2 linked regions of the Anolis sagrei genome follow. The protein of the gene in region 2 binds, or shares a complex with, the protein of the main gene of each other region. Links are inferred from orthologs where the notes say so. Each region holds a gene or a part of one and is shown on either strand. Other genes may lie near its edges.

The links.
Region 1: the proteins of TNNI2 (region 2) and TNNC2 are in contact, whole or in part, in a crystal structure (PDB 1A2X), measured with the Oryctolagus cuniculus proteins. The link is inferred for Anolis sagrei from reciprocal best matches to the Homo sapiens genes TNNI2 and TNNC2. Residues at the interface, in NP_001076252.1 of Oryctolagus cuniculus: Glu5, Asn8, Arg9, Ile11, Thr12, Arg14, Arg15, Gln16, His17, Leu18, Lys19, Ser20, Val21, Met22, Leu23, Ile25, Ala26, Glu29, Leu30, Glu33; in NP_001076114.1 of Oryctolagus cuniculus: Ser13, Glu15, Met16, Ala18, Glu19, Ala22, Lys91, Leu96, Glu98, Cys99, Arg101, Ile102, Phe103, Arg105, Ile119, Phe120, Ala122, Ser123, Glu125, His126, Val127, Glu131, Ser134, Leu135, Asp138, Phe152, Met155, Met156, Val159, Gln160.

Annotation. Positions count from the first base shown.
Region 1 is NC_090024.1:248,918,910-248,926,331, reverse strand, and holds the start of TNNC2 (troponin C, skeletal muscle), read right to left. Parts: upstream 3,012-7,422; 5' UTR 2,894-3,011; coding exon 2,891-2,893; intron 1,804-2,890; coding exon 1,752-1,803; intron 1-1,751. UniProt on the Homo sapiens protein: Troponin is the central regulatory protein of striated muscle contraction. Tn consists of three components: Tn-I which is the inhibitor of actomyosin ATPase, Tn-T which contains the binding site for tropomyosin and Tn-C.
Region 2 is NC_090021.1:244,254,659-244,262,433, reverse strand, and holds the start of TNNI2 (troponin I, fast skeletal muscle), read right to left. Parts: upstream 3,016-7,775; 5' UTR 2,908-3,015; intron 1,830-2,907; 5' UTR 1,824-1,829; coding exon 1,701-1,823; intron 328-1,700; coding exon 238-327; intron 1-237. UniProt on the Homo sapiens protein: Troponin I is the inhibitory subunit of troponin, the thin filament regulatory complex which confers calcium-sensitivity to striated muscle actomyosin ATPase activity.

The DNA of each region.
Region 1 (7,422 bases), on a different chromosome or scaffold from region 2:
AGGCTTGAGCTATGCCGGTGCTTGTAGAGAAGCAGAGGGAGACGGAGTTTGGAGTGTGCTTTTGCTTCACGAGCTGCTGAAGGAGTTTCTCTACGTGGACAAAAGAAAAACCTTTCTAAATCTCTCATAACAGGACATTATGTGAATTAATGCAACTGACCACAGGATTGTACATATGTTGTTCTGAGTTACGAAGAGTAAACCACTTGTTATGTACTGTTCGTCTGCATGGCATAGTTTCTAGAACTACACATCCTTTTCATTTCATCACAGAATGTAAATAAAGTGTTATTACTGGGTCATAATCTGTTGGGAGGGGTTGAATCATCTTCCTGCCTGGCTGAAGGGGGTGGGACTGCATGGCCTTTGGGGTCCCTTCCTTCTCTAGGACCCCAGGATTCTCTCCCCTTTGCTACAGGTTTTTAAGCAGAGGATGGATGGATGCATGCCTATCTGTCAGGAGGGATCTGATAGTGTCTTTCCGCCTGGCCTTTGGGCAACTTCAAGAGAAGTTGAGCGTCTCCTCCAATTTGGGCCCTCCCTCCCTCCATGGGTGTTGGACTCCAACTCCCATCATTCCCCACAGCCTCAGGCCCCTTCCTTTCCATCTCAGCTGCTTAACACCCATGGAGAGAGGCCCGAAGATGGCCCATACCTGCCTTTAACTGTTTCTATCTTTGGCATCCCCCCCCCCCCAACTGTGAGTTCCCTGAGGCCCCTTGGAAACGCAGGCAGTAAAAACAACCCATAATAATGAAGGGAAATGGCATGGACGGGAATGGCAAGGTGGAGCTGTGGCTCTCGGCAGAATTGTCTTGCTGGAAGGGGCTCCCAGGGGCCATCTAGTCTGACCCCCTTCTGCCAGGAAGGGAACGCACTGCTCAAGGCACCTCTGAGAAGGGAGGTGGGCTAGGTGGCCTTTGGGTGCCCCTTCCACCTGCTCCTTCCCTTCCAAAGCCTCCCCAGGGATTGAGGGCAAGAAGGTCAGGGCTAGGCAGAAGGGGCCCTAGCAAGGGTCAAGCACTTGACCCTCCGACCCCCTTTGCACTGGGGATGCTCTCAGGGCCTGATGTCTGGTCACTCTCTTCCCCCCCCCCTCTTTCCATTCCTGGGGCTGTTTGTCATTGGATGCCATGGTGAATTATCTTGCAAGAAGGGCTCCCAGGAGCCACCTAGTCTGACCCCCTTCTGCCAGGAAAGGAATGCCCTTCTCAAGGCACCTGGGCTAGGTGGCCTTTGGGTGCCCCTTCCACCTGCTCCTTCCCTTCCAAAGCCTTCCTGGGGATTGGGGGCAAGAAGGTCAGGGCTAGGCAGAAGGGGCCCTAGCAAGGGTCAAGCACTTGACCCTCTGACCCCTTGCTCCCTCCGTCAAGGCCTTTGCCCTCACACCAGTTGGATTTCCGCTGCCTCTTTGTAAGGGATTGCGGCACCTTTCCCTCTGCACTGGGGATGCTCTCAGGGCCTGGTGTCGTGTCACCCTCTGTCCACCCCTGGGACTGTTTGTCATTGGTCAGCTTCATGGATGGATGTCCAGCTGCTTTCTCTGTGGCTCCGCAAGGGAGAAAGGCAGGCAGCCAGGCTGCGGAGTGAGTCCTGTGAGGGAGCTGCTCTGGCCACGGCAATGGTCAAGCGCTTGACCCACCCAGGTCACTGCTGGCCCTCCAATGAGTGGGCTTTCTCCCCTGACCCAGGGCCAAGCCAGGCTTCCTTGCCCCCAGAGACACCACCCCATCTCCAACCTTTTGACTCACCAGCAATCATCTCCTCGCTGAGGTAGGACCGGGCCTCCGCCTGCTGGTCCGTCTGCAAGGCAAGCACAAAGTCCAGGAAAGGGCAACACCTGACCCCTCCCGACAGACGGCCAGACTCCCTCCCTGTCCCCATTGGGCCCCTCTCTGTGGACCACCAAAGATCCCTTGGCTCTTATAGGGCTTCACTGGCTTTGGCCAGAAAGATGGACTTGAATTCCCCGCACAGAACTAGGCTGCTGCCTCCAGGCATCTCCCTGCAGAGATGCTCCAGGCCCTTGTGGACCAGGGTGACCGGCCAGTCATGTGGCCAAGGTGGACATCATTGGCTCAAAAATGCCCCAAAGCATCCCATTCCAGGGCAGCCTTTGCAAAGTGGGGTCTGTCCGGTCCCTTGGGCAAGTCCAGGATAACTTGGCTTCCATTGGGTGGCCTTTCTGGAGGCTTCATGGCTGCTTTGCTCCATCCTGGCCTTGCTCCTCTTCCTCCTCCTCCTCCTCGTCCTCTCCGGCCAGATGCCATTGTCCACTTGGATCTTCAGGCGCCTGTGGCGATGGGGGGGAGGGCGCTCCTCCTTGATCCCGGGCTATTCTTAGCCGTGGCCCCCGGGCTCGGGCCTTGTAGGGAGCCAGGGCTGGACACCAGCTGCTCCACGCAACACCTGTCGGCCTCGGATCGGGTTACTCCTTGGGGCTTCGTCTCTGGTGGGCGGGCGGGTGGGTGGGTGGGCAAGCATGAAGCCTCCTTGTGACCGGCAGCTCGCTTTCCCTGCTGCTGCGTCCTTGGCTGGACTCCCAAGCCAGACCCGTCCAGCCCACACGGCTGTAGAGTTCGGAGCTGTCCACCCTGAAGGAGAGGATCTGACCCAGCCAAGGGGACTCTTGGCTCTGCTCCTTTCGATGACTCTGAGACCCTCCTTGGCCCCATCGGCCTCCCCCAGACCCAAATGCCCCACTCCACTCCTTGCAATGACCCCACCACCAACAGCTTCAACCAGAGAGTCCTTCAGCTTCACCGTAACCTTTGCCCTGTCCCTTGCCATCTTCTGCCCTCATGTCCAGCCCCAACCGCCCTTCCTTGACCATGCAAACCACTTCCTTGACCATGCAAACCCCAACCTTAACCCTAACCCGTGGTCTTACCATGTTGGCAGGCTAAGGGCACCCCACTGAGAGAGAGCGAGAGAGAGAAGGGCCACTGGTGACGACGACGACGGGTCCCACACCTGCTTCTCCGGGTCAGATGGCAAACCGCTCCGTCCGAGGCTCTGGCACGGCCTTTTATACCTGGACAACTGGGCACGGCTCCGCCCACACTGCCCTCATTGGGCACCAAGGGAGGTGGCTCTTTGGTCAGCCAATGGCCTTCCTCCTCGGCTGCTCATTGGCCGGCCAGGCATTTTACCAAATTTAGCCAAGCCACTCCTGGCTGTGTCTTGTGCAGATATGTGTGTGTGAGTGCGTGTGTGTGTGGGACCCTCAGGGAGAGCGAAATCCTACCCTTGGCCTGACTTGAGTGAATGGCAAGGGACTGACGGCAGCCCCATCCTCGGAGGGGTAAAAATAGACCCTCCCCATATGGAGAAGGAGGCCGCAGGGTTGGGTGGTCTCCCTCCTTGGGGGGAGGGGGAAGAGGGGGTCTGCTCCCTTGGCCCCTGCACTGAGGTCTCTGCCGTGGGGAGGGCCCCCGGGGGGAAGGCATGCCGAGCACCCACCCCCCTCGCATGCCATGCCGAGCCCCCTCCCCAGCTGCCTCCTTGCATCCCGAATATTCCGGCCTCATTTGTTGACACCGGGATCCGGTTTCCTCCATGCCCAGAATGCGGGGAGAGAAGACGCCCGGTCTCCTTCCCCGCCCCCCAACATCCCAATATACACATAGGCCGGCCTTTACACTCCCCCCATGGAAGGACCCCCCCTTTCAGCCTGCATGGAAAGGTGGAAGAAGGTCTTGGGATGGGCGCCCCACTAACACCCACAAGGCACACATTGCCCCATTTTGGAAGGGCCCGGATTTGCGGAGGCAAGGGGGCCTGTGGGATGGAAATGGGAGGGGCTCAGCAATGGGTCAGGAAGGCCAGAGGCATTCTTGTTCTGGGCCTCCAAGTCGCCTGCGGACGTAGAGTGATCTAGAGGGGGGCTTTTCTTGGGCAAGGAACCTTCAGAGGACGCGGTGCCCTTTCCTGTCTGAGAAATCCTCTATTTCATAGAATCCTAGAATCAAAGAGTTGGAAGAGACCTCCTGGGCCATCATCCAGTCCAACCCCATTTTGCCAAGAAGCAGGAATATTGCATCCAAATCACCCCTGACAGATGGCCATCCAGCCTCTGCTTAAAAGCTTCCAAAGAAGGAGCCTCCACCACACTCCCTCCGGGGCAGAGAGTTCCACTGCTGAACGGCTCTCACAGTCAGGAAGTTCTTCCTCATGTTCAGATGGAATCTCCTCTCTTGTAGTTTGAAGCCATTGTTCCCTTGCATCCTAGTCTCCAGGGAAGCAGAAAGGAAGCTTGCTCCCTCCTCCTCGCTGTGGCTTCCTCTCACATATTTATACATGGCTATCATCTCTCAGCCTTCTCTTCTTCAGGCTAAACATGCCCAGTTCCCTAAGCCGCTCCTCATAGGGCTTGTTCTCCAGACCCTTGATCATTTTAGTCGCCCTCCTCTGGACACATTCCAGCTTAGAGTCAATATCTCTCTTGAATTGTGGTGCCCAGAATTGGACACAATATTCCAGGTGTGGTCTAACCAAGGCGGAATAGAGCATGGGGAGCATCACTTCCTTAGATCTAGACACTAGGCTCCTCTTGATGCAGGCCAAAATCCCATTGGCTTTTTTTGCCGCCAATGTTTTATTTACTCGAATCTAATGCTTTCTGTTTTCTGGCTCAATGGCATTGCCAAAATTAGGGTGGTGACATATTAGAATGGCTTCAGGACCCCCTGGAGCTCCTCTTTGATTGGCCTCGCCTCTACTTGAATGGCCACGTCACCTGGGAATGTGGACTTTGGTGAGGCATCAGCATTCTTTGGCCAAGAAGGCTCAAAACCGTGTCAAATTAGATGACTCCATGGCATTGAACCAAGACAGTTCCGTTGCTGGACGGTCTGGCGCTCCCTCCCGTTCTGTTTTTAACGAAGGAACCCTAATCAGGCAGCCACTCTCATGCGCACCTTTTGGGGCCAAACTACAAAGAGTGCATCTTTCGCCGCTAAACATTATGTTGGTCAGCAAATACTCTATTTTGGTTTCAGGGTTTTGGAAATTGAGGTGCGCATTAGAGTCGATGGTGTGTTAGACTCAAGTAAATACGGCACCTGGGATTCACAGACAGGCCTCCTGGCCTTGGGGAAGCTGCTTCCGGGATTGTCACTCCCAGCATCCTCCAGGAGCTGGCCATCCAAATTGGAGGAAAGAGACCAAGGTCCGGCATCGTGTGGGTCTGGGCCTTCAAGTCCCCTCCTGACTGATAGGCACCCCAAGCATTTCAATGGGATTTCCTTGACGAGGGAGACCCAGAGGTGGCTTGGCCAGTCCCTTCCTTCAACTCGCAGTCTACAGAACCTGGGATTCCCTGGCGGTCTCCCACCCAATTACAAACCAGGGCTGACACTGCTTAACTCCCCAAACCAGACAGGACTCAGTGTTTTGGGGTGTCAAGGCCACGTGTGTGTTGGTGCCAGCCCCACGCATTTCATCCAAGGAGGTGATTTCCTTCCTCTGAAAGGTCACCCCCAGGAGACCCACCCAGGCAGAACCTGCTTTTCATCCAGGATCAGACGGGATCTGATGCCTTTGGAGTGGGGATCAAATGATGGAACTTGAGGAGACGTTGGCCTGTTCTTGAAGATTTTGGGGGAAATGACCCCTGGCAGTTCCTGGAAATGGGTGGAGGTGTTTGGCTCTCTCTCTCTCTCCTTGTCAGCTTTGTGGCATCATGGCTTGCGTTCCTCCAGTTGCTTCTCCCTTCCTGCCCGTTTCAAGTTTGGAGCAGAAGGCATTTCTGAACCGGGGTCTCAAAAGTGGCTTGGCTTCTGACTCATCTCCCAATGCAGACGGGCACAAGGCAGGGATGACACAGGCTGCTACACTGCGTTGGGTGGGACCCACCTGGCCTGGCCTGGCCCAGCACTGGTGAAGCCAAACTAGACTTTAGGGTGGGAGGTCAACTCCAAGGGGAGATGACCCTTAGTTCCCACCAAAGAGGGAACGCTACCTTGGCAAGCCTTCAGAGAAGCCCGATTCCAGCAATTTTATTTAATACTAGCTGTACCCGCCACACATTGCTGTGGCCAACCTTCCCCCTATCTCCCCTTCTTTCCCTCCTTCCTTCACTCCCTGTTTCCTTCCTTCCTTCCTTCCCGTCTTTCCTTCTCTCCTTCCTTCCTTCTCTATCGCTTTCCTTCCTTCCCCCTTTTTCTTTCTCTTCTGCTGTCTCTTTTTTCTTCCTTCTCTCTTTCTTCCTTTCTTTCCCTCCCTCTTTCTCTACATCTTCCCCCCTCCCTTCGCTCCCTCTTTCCTTCCTTCTTCCTTGTTCTCTTCTGCAATCTCTCTTTTCTTCCTTCTCTCTTTCTTCCTTTCTTTCCCTCCCTCTTTCTCTACATCTTCCCCCCTTCCTTCGCTCCTTCTTTCCTTCCTTCTTTCCCTTTTTTCTTTCCTTCTCTTCTTCCTTCTCTAACTTTCCTTCCTCCCCCCCCTTTTTCTTTCCCTTCCTCTTTCTCTCCTTTCTTCCTTTTCTACCTCATTCCTTCCTTCTTTCTTTCCCTCCCTCTTTCTCTCCCTTCTTCCTTGACAGATTAGAAGGGGGCGTGGCTTGGAGGTAACGTGAGGGGTAAGAGGGAGGAAGGGAGGGGGGATGGGTTTAGAAAGGGTGCCGCGCGGGGGGGGGGGATGAGGGCGCGCGCGCGCGTGTGTGTGTGCCGCGCCGGGGGGGTGAGGGGGGCGCGTGTGTGTGTGTGTGTATGTGCCGTGCGGGGGGGGGGGTGAGGGGGGCGTGTGTGTGTGCCGCGCCGGGGGGGTGAGGGGGGCGTGTGTGTGTGTGTGCCGTGCGGGGGGGGGAGTGAGGGGGGCGCGTGTGTGTGTGTGCCGCGTGGGGGGGGGGGTGAGGGGGGCGTGTGTGTGTGTGTGCCGCGCGGGGGGGGGGGTGAGGGGGGCGTGTGTGTGTGCCGCGCGGGGGGGGGGGGGTGAGGGGGGCGCGTGTGTGTGTGTGCCACGCGGGGGGGATGAGGGGGGCGCGCGTGTGTGTGTATGTGCCGTGCGGGGGGGGGTGAGGGCGCATGCGTGTGTGTGTGTGTGCCGCGCCGGGGGGGTGAGGGGGTGCGCGCGCATGTGTGTGTGTGTGCCGCGCCGGGGGGGTGAGGGGGCGCGCGCGTGCGGGTGTATGTGTGTGTGCCGCGCCGAGGGGGGGAGAGTGAGGGGCCATATGTGCGCGCACGTCGGGGAGTTTGCGCCAGTGCGCATGCTCAGTTGCTTTCCCGTTTTTTGTGGTTGTTGTTGTGTGGTTTTGATTTCAGAGTGGATTAGTTTGTACCTAGTGGGTTGTCCTTGGGGCATGGCAATTTTGGTAGAGTTTTGTGGAGAGGTTTTAGAGTTTTGCTTCCCCGTTGGACGCCAGTAGGAAATTTATATATATAGATTAATAATTGAAATGAGCCCCTTGCCAAAGCGAAGAAGGGG
Region 2 (7,775 bases):
GCATACTCAGAAATGGAAACATACGAACATACAATGATATTCCAAAATCACACCTACACTTACTATTGAAAGAAATAAGTGTGTTACATTAGCATAACAAGCAATAGAAAAGTCAAGTAGCACATTTGGAATCAACTGAAAAGAAGAAATTGCCCAGTTAGTCTCAAAGGATTCCTGGGTTCCTTTTTAAACTTTTAAAATAAAACAGATTTGGATGTGTTAGTTAAAAAACATTACCTCTTTGGTAGTTTTCTGTAATTTCATCTCTGTGTCATATCTTTCCTCATCAACTTCCTCTACCTTGGCATGCAGCTTTTTGCAGAATTCCTGTTGAGCAACAAGTACAGACTATAAAAGAAGGTTGCTTAAGACATGTATTCTGCATTTCATTTACCAACATTTCCAGCCCTCTACAGGGAAACATATGTGTTGACTCAGGTGATTTCAGGCATTTTCATAGTGAGTTTACAGTAAGGTTTATTTCTTTAAAATCTGAAAACCTAAACCAAGTAGAAAGCTTTCTTAATGAGTCAGATTGGGGTGTGAGTAGTGGGGGATAGCAAACACAAAATGACTACTGAACACTCTACATAACATGCTCCTAAAACACCTAGATCAGCATAGCAGAAGTTACGGCAGGATATATTTTGTAGATCTCCAAAGATTATGCATTTGATCCAGTTTTGTTAAACAACAGATACTCCAATCACCCTGAATTTTGCCCAAGTCTTACTGGTGCATAGCAACATAGGACTTTTGTTGAATACCTTTATTTAGTTCATTCACAAGGATGTAGCAACTAGGACGGGGCAAAGTGATAGCATTGCCCTCCTGAAATTAAGAATTTTCTCCCCACCCCTCACTCCACAACTTCCATTCCCAAATTTCCAGCATTGCAGCACATTAAAACTTTAGTTGATCATCTAGGAAAAACAGCTTAGACATTGCAAGGAAAAGCCAAAGTTGCCAAGGGTATTAGGCATGGACAATGTCTTGCTCTCAAATGTTAGAAAGGTGGGACTGAAAAAAATCATTTGAAGAGCAGAATTCTTTTTTGAAGGGCAATATTCCGATTCCCCTCCCAGAGCAAAATCCTGGTAGATTCCTCTTTCTAAATACAACATATACCCGTAGCACAAATCCACACTGCCATAAGTACTGTATACTGTATCCTACAGTCATGTAATCCACAAACCCAAGATATCCCATTGTTCACTGGTCAACTCCAAAATGAGAGAGAGGCTCTTGTATATGCTTGCAAAACAATTTACAAAACTACCATCTGGATTTGCATTTGTGAGCTGAAGGAAAATTTCATTGGGGGCAGGATATCTATTGGGTGAATAATGCTCAAATTTAGTCACCTCCCCCATTGACTGTAATATATACTGCTTAACTTTGCCCAAAGTATAATTCTGGCAACCCTACCAGATGTCTGCCACAGAATTCCAAGTGAGGTTTGAGAATTGAAGCCTGATTGGAGAACCTGTGAGTCTCTTGGTGATGTTGTTGGACTTCAGTTCCCATCAGATCCAGTGGTGAGGAATTATGGAAATGGTAGATCAATATCTGAGGGGAATTGGAATCAGCCCTATCTGTCTTTGTGTATCAGTGAATGGTTGGACTGGATAGCCCATGAGGTCTCTTCCAACTCTATGATTCTATAATGGTAAAAGGGAGTGGGCAGATCAAATCATTACCTGCAGTTCCTGCATGGAACCTGGGAGTTGAAGAGGTGGGCAGTGCTCTGCCAGGTAGTCAGCTTTTTCTTGTTCTTTGGCAACTGCTTCTTTCTCAAGTTCAGTAGCAGCAATTTGGAGCATAACACTCTATGAGAACAGAAGTGGGAGAAACACCATTATGAGTGTGTGCATGGCATGTAAAATAGCACAAGATAAAACCAGAAGTTCTTTTGGGGTAAATTGTAAGATTATATTTGTATCAACACTGCAATGTTAAACAAATTTGATACCATCTTAGCTTTCTTCACCCTAGTGAATCCTGGGGTTTGTAGTTTGTGAGATACTTGGAATTTTCTGCTAGAGAGCTCTGGTCCTGAACCTCAGTGCTAGAGCTCCATAGCAGAGATTTCTGAGAACCTCACCAAATTATTTCTCAAGATGGAGCCATGACAGCTAAAGAGGTGTTGAAACTGTTTGAACTGTGCAGTAGATACACACTGTATTTACAATTAGTTTCTGCTATGTATTCATTGGGCAAGTCACAGCTACTTAGTGCCAGTTAATGGGTGTGCCAAATTAAAACTATTGTTATTGGATTCCAGATCAAGCTAAGTTGCATTTCATTCCACATCTAACTGGTCCATCCATGTGGAAAGAAGAGTTGTTGGCTTTTAGCCAAGGTAAGGAACTCTTTCCCATATTTTTGGTTTACCTCAGTGTGGTTTCTCTCTTCAATAATTTTTCTTTCATTTTGAAAGCATCTCTCATATCAGAAATGTCATGAGCTGGGCAAAGAGCTCTTGGGAAGAGAAGATGCTGGGGTAGTAAGTGAATACATAGTAGGCTTAGCACCTATAATGATATTAAAATGAGAGGTGGCACCCCTACATATTCAGACCAGGTCTGTGTTCTACACTGCAGCCTGAACTGATGGTCCTGGTTTCAAAAATGGGGTGGAAACCCCCAGAAAATTTAGAGCACCCCATAAATGACTAATAGAAATGGGCAAAATTTTGAACATTCAGACTAGTTCTTTCTTTCTTTCTTTCTATAGATGGCAAGCAGTGCTGTTGAAGACAGGACACTCTTACCCGACAGTCTGAAAGATGAATGTCAGGGAACTTGGGGTTATTCTTACAAACCACATCTCTTCTCCAAAACAAGAAGAAATCAGTTGGGCTGAGAATCAAATCTGTTGTTATGACTCACAAGAATCAGTAGTTACCTTGAGATGCTGCCGGCGGGCAGTAATTGCCCTTTTCTTTTTCTGAAATACAAAGAAAATGAGAAAGAATTGGGTTAAACAGTGTTTGAAGTGATCTTTCCATAAACCATGTGCCTTTCCTAAGGATCCCCTCTTCTACCTCCATGCAAATGTGGGATGGAATTAAAACAATCGTCTTTGTGGCTGAAGAAGGTCTCTAACTGTATCCTCTTTCTCTGCCTATTCTATTTTTGATCTTGTCCCCCTTCCTCAGAGCAAACAGTGGTGATTAGACCCAGGGTCCTTGAGAAGAAGGCAGCATTGCTACAATAAGGATATCAGCTATTAGAACTGGCTTCACTAAACCCTAGAGCCCAAAGTGCAGTCTCTTGAGGTCTCAGGGTTAAGAGGCTTTGAGAACACAACTGCCTGGCTTATTCTACCAACTGATCCAGTTCCTGAAATGCTATACCAAGAGAGACATATAATAGAGAGGAAGAACCCAACTGGTTAGCAAAATAAACCAATAAAGAAATAAAATAATCAGAGTTTAATTAATTGATAGCAGAGTCAATATGGTGCAGTGGTTTGAGTGTTAGACTAGGACACTGGGAGACCAAGGTCCGAATCCCCATTTAGAAGTGGGGGCCATGGAAGTCTACCACACCTGGTAGGCCTGGAGCAAATCACATTGTCTCAGCTTCAGAAGAAGGCAAGGATAACACAAATTCTGCCAAGAAAATCCCTTGATAGGTTTGCCAAATCAGAAATCACGGGGGGTATACAACAACAAAATTAAATGGTACCTTCCTTTAATAATATGAGATCCAAAGTGGCTTATGACATAAGTTAAAACAGGAAAGTTAAAACAATATGTAATACATTTTAAAGCATTCAGCAATCAGTCCAATTAAAATAATTTGTTGTAATATGCCTTCAAGTGGACTTAGGGTGATCCTATATGAAGATTTTCTTGGTGAGATTTATTCAGCGGGGGTTTACCATTGCTTTCTTCTAAGGCTGAAAGATTGTGCTCAAAGTGGTCCAGCACTCAAACCACTTTATTATGCTGGTTCTCATAAAGCATTTATTTAGAACACTGCTTAAAATTCTAGAATCATAATAATCAAAGACTGATGACTGAAGCCAAATGGGCAAAGGACCAAAATTATAATTAACAGATCAGACTTCATCACCTGTTTAGGAATGCATGGTTCCAGATTTTTACAAGAGATCGGGGAGAAGAATGCAGGCTAAAAAGCAATGCCCAAAAGACAATCGTTGTATGCCTTAAGCAAAGGTGGCAAAGTGTGGCTCTCTAAATATTAGGGTATTATTCCTAGCAATTCACCAACATCTGGCAAAATCTGGTCAATTAAGGCCCTCCAGATGCTGGATAACAATAACTAGCACATTAGTGGGGGGGGGGGGAGGGGGGCATAATTTGCCAATCTCCACTATAAGGAAAAAAGCAGTTTGGGAGCAATGGAAGAACCAAGAGACAGCGGAAGAAATGTGGATTGTGCTAGTAGTACACTCTTTGGTGATGTGTTTGGGATGTAAAAATGCTGTTATGTGTTACATACTCAGCCGTTCCTGGGAAGGAATGTTTTGACAGTTTTCTACCACCTATATTCTGCAAGGTAAAAAATATGAAAATGCTACTCTTAGCTTATCCTTGCTGGATCATAGCATGTATGTCTTATACTCAGAGCATATCCTACAACTTTTCAAAACCAGAAACTCTAAGAGCATGACCATGCCTTTCTAATGAAGCAAAACAAGAACAACAACAAAAAGGGACCATATCCCTCACAGCCTTGGGACCACCCCATGCCCTCAATCTACTGTATGGAAAATTTCTGGTATTTTGACACAACTTCAATGTACAGATCAATCAGGAGTTGTCAGCTATTGAGGAATTAAATTTATTTATTTATTTTGGACATTTGTATCCCGTCCTATCTCGAACTCTGCAGAGCGATTCAGGGTGGCTAACAACCGGCACACCATGGTGCCCAAAGGGTTACATTGGCCTTCGCCAATGAGAGATACACCCTGCAGTTTTGCTATGCCACTTTCCTTCCCAGCCATTTTAGGCCCAAAGGAGGCCCCTTTTTATATGAGGAAGTGATACAGAAGTCTACTTCCTATTTCCTTGCTGCTAGAATAAAATATTGGAGACATTGGGGGTGGGGCACAAAAACATATCTTCCACAAATTATTTTGAACCCTGGTGCTGCATGTATCCATATTTCCCCCACCTGCAAGCTACATATAGATATCAGGGTCTTTCATTAAATGTTGGTAATCAAATCTTTTACATCGGCACATTAGCTCCCTGGGATAATGGTGCATTCTGTCTGTGATGCCTTGGTGCAAAGGGAATAGTGATTCACATTCCAAATAATTTATGTGCCACCAGCTGTACTTTCATTGGAGGACCTCCAGTCCAAGTCATGCTAGTTTTAAGAAACCTGATAAGGTTGCCACAGTATGAGGACAGCCCCAGATCACAATTTGGCCTTTAGAATTATCTTCTAAAGTCAGTGGAAAGACTTGGTTCAACTGCAATAGGCTTTGGTCAAATCTATCATGAATGTTCTTATGCATGCTCTGAAATGAGTCTGGAAATGAGTCTTATAGAAACTCACTGGATAATAACTCTTTTAGTGTGCAATTCAAATTTATAGGGATGGGATTCAGTACTGACTTAGCTGTGGAGATTGTGGTGAGTAAATAAAATAAAGAACTATTTTATGATATTCATATCAACAAGTTGGGCTCAACTTTCCTGAATTTCAGTGGCCTAGAAGGTGGTTATAAAAAGCAGTGTCTTTTCAGTGGTTTCCCCTTCAGTATGAAACTAACTCTCCAAGGATTCAAATCTCTTTATTGCCTGTCAGCTAGGAGGCTGCCAAATCACATTTTTCCCTTTACAAATCCTTTCAGGAATAGCATACTAATCAATACTGTAGACTTTTTGTCTGTTTATTCTCTGGTACTGGTGTATTGATTTAGTTTAGAAGTTTAAATAAGATATCTTTAATAGTGTTGAACTGATCAGAATGATACTTGCTTTTCAGGTAAGCTGCCTTAGATATCAGATCAAAAAGAGGATTTAGTGAGCATATCAAGAAATAAACAAGGGATGCTCCCTTCAACATGTAAGACTGGCAGTGCAATATTATTATTGTCCAGTTAGACTAACCAATAGGATTCCAGCATATATATTCCCCCAATGTTTGGGTCCAAGTAACATCTGTTATGGTAGGAAGTTCTTACATGCCTATGGATCTCTGGCGTGACAAGGAATCACACCATTATTGAACCTGATTCATACTATTGCTCTCTCTAGATGTGAGTTAAAGCCTATGACAACCTCAGAAAAGTCACATACCCAGTGAACATAAAGGATCAGTGATGTTGCTGGCTCAGTGCCATGGAATAAACGAAACAACTCAACTTGAAGGAGGACATGTCCAGGTTGTGCTAAGTCCCTTTGAATAGATTCTAGATTACATAACAAAGTTTGAGCAAAGCAAAATCAATCAATCAGTTGTTCTGCCAAAAACTTTCTTAAGGCGCACAAAGTATTTTTTAGTCTCCTAAACCTCATGAAAAATGAAGGAGAGGTTTGCTGTTAGTTTCAGCTGTGCCTGTCTCAGCTTTCATTACCCTTCTACAGAATGAAATGACATGATCTAGGCAGGCAATATTGTCACCTTCAAAATGCAGGAATAAACCTTCTGGTAAAATTCATTCCTGAGATTCTAACCCATTGGCTCTTTAGTAAGAGCTATAGGAATATCCATCTAGGCTGGTAAAGTTAGCATGTAGTGATTTGAACCTTAAACTCCAGTTCCAAAGATATGGATTTGAATCCCCACTTGGTCATGGAAACCCATTTAAGCAGGTCACATTCTCTAAACTGCAAAGAAATTGAAAGGTAAAGCCCCCCTGAACAAATCTTGTCAAGAAACCCCTATGATAGGACTGCCTTAGGTTTGCCATAAGTTGGAAATTACTTGAAGGCACACAACAGCAGGCTGCTAACAGAAGGACAAACAGGAATACTAAATTGCTTATTACAATGGTAGCCTCAGTAATAAGACTGAAAGAAGCCATGAGCCATAGCTTGCTCAACTGAGCTATCTCTTATTTCATGCATATTTTTATGACAGGTATTAGGGCGTGCTTAAAGGAATGGCTTGAACATCAAAAAGATATGTGGTTCATGTTTGTGAGCTCTATGTGTTGAAGATGTTGGACAAACAACACTTTCTGAGGCTGGATTTACACTGCCCTATATCCCAGAATCTGATCTCAAATTATCTGCTTTGAATGGTTTATATAAGTCTTCACTGCCAAATAATCTGGGATAAGCAGACAATTTGGGATCAAATCCTCAGATGTAGGGCAGTGTAGAAAGGGACCTGAGAGATAGGGATGCAGGTTTTATCTTCATCATGAATTGTGGGCTAATGAGAAAAGGTTTTGAGATAATTTATAGGAAAATATGAGGAGATGAGAAAATAAATTATGGTTGCCAGTTAATGGTTTCAGCCTTGAGAGATCTTCTTCACAATGGGAAGATTTTATTTCAGGATTGGTGCTCCATCATATTGTTACCATATTGATCTTTAATTCTATCTATGTCCACCCACTTCAAAAAGGGCTAAAAGGGGGGGGGGGGAACTTACCTCCTCTCTGGTTGGAGAGAAAGAGATAGACACAAGAAGAAAAGGAGAGAAAAGAGAAGAAAAGTGTTGTTAGAATAAAATGAAATTCCATAGAAAAAGTACAGAGCTGGTCAGGCTGCTCGGATGAAATAGTTCAAAAAGATTATATATAACTTTAGCAACTTAGTTGATATTCGGCAGGAAAGT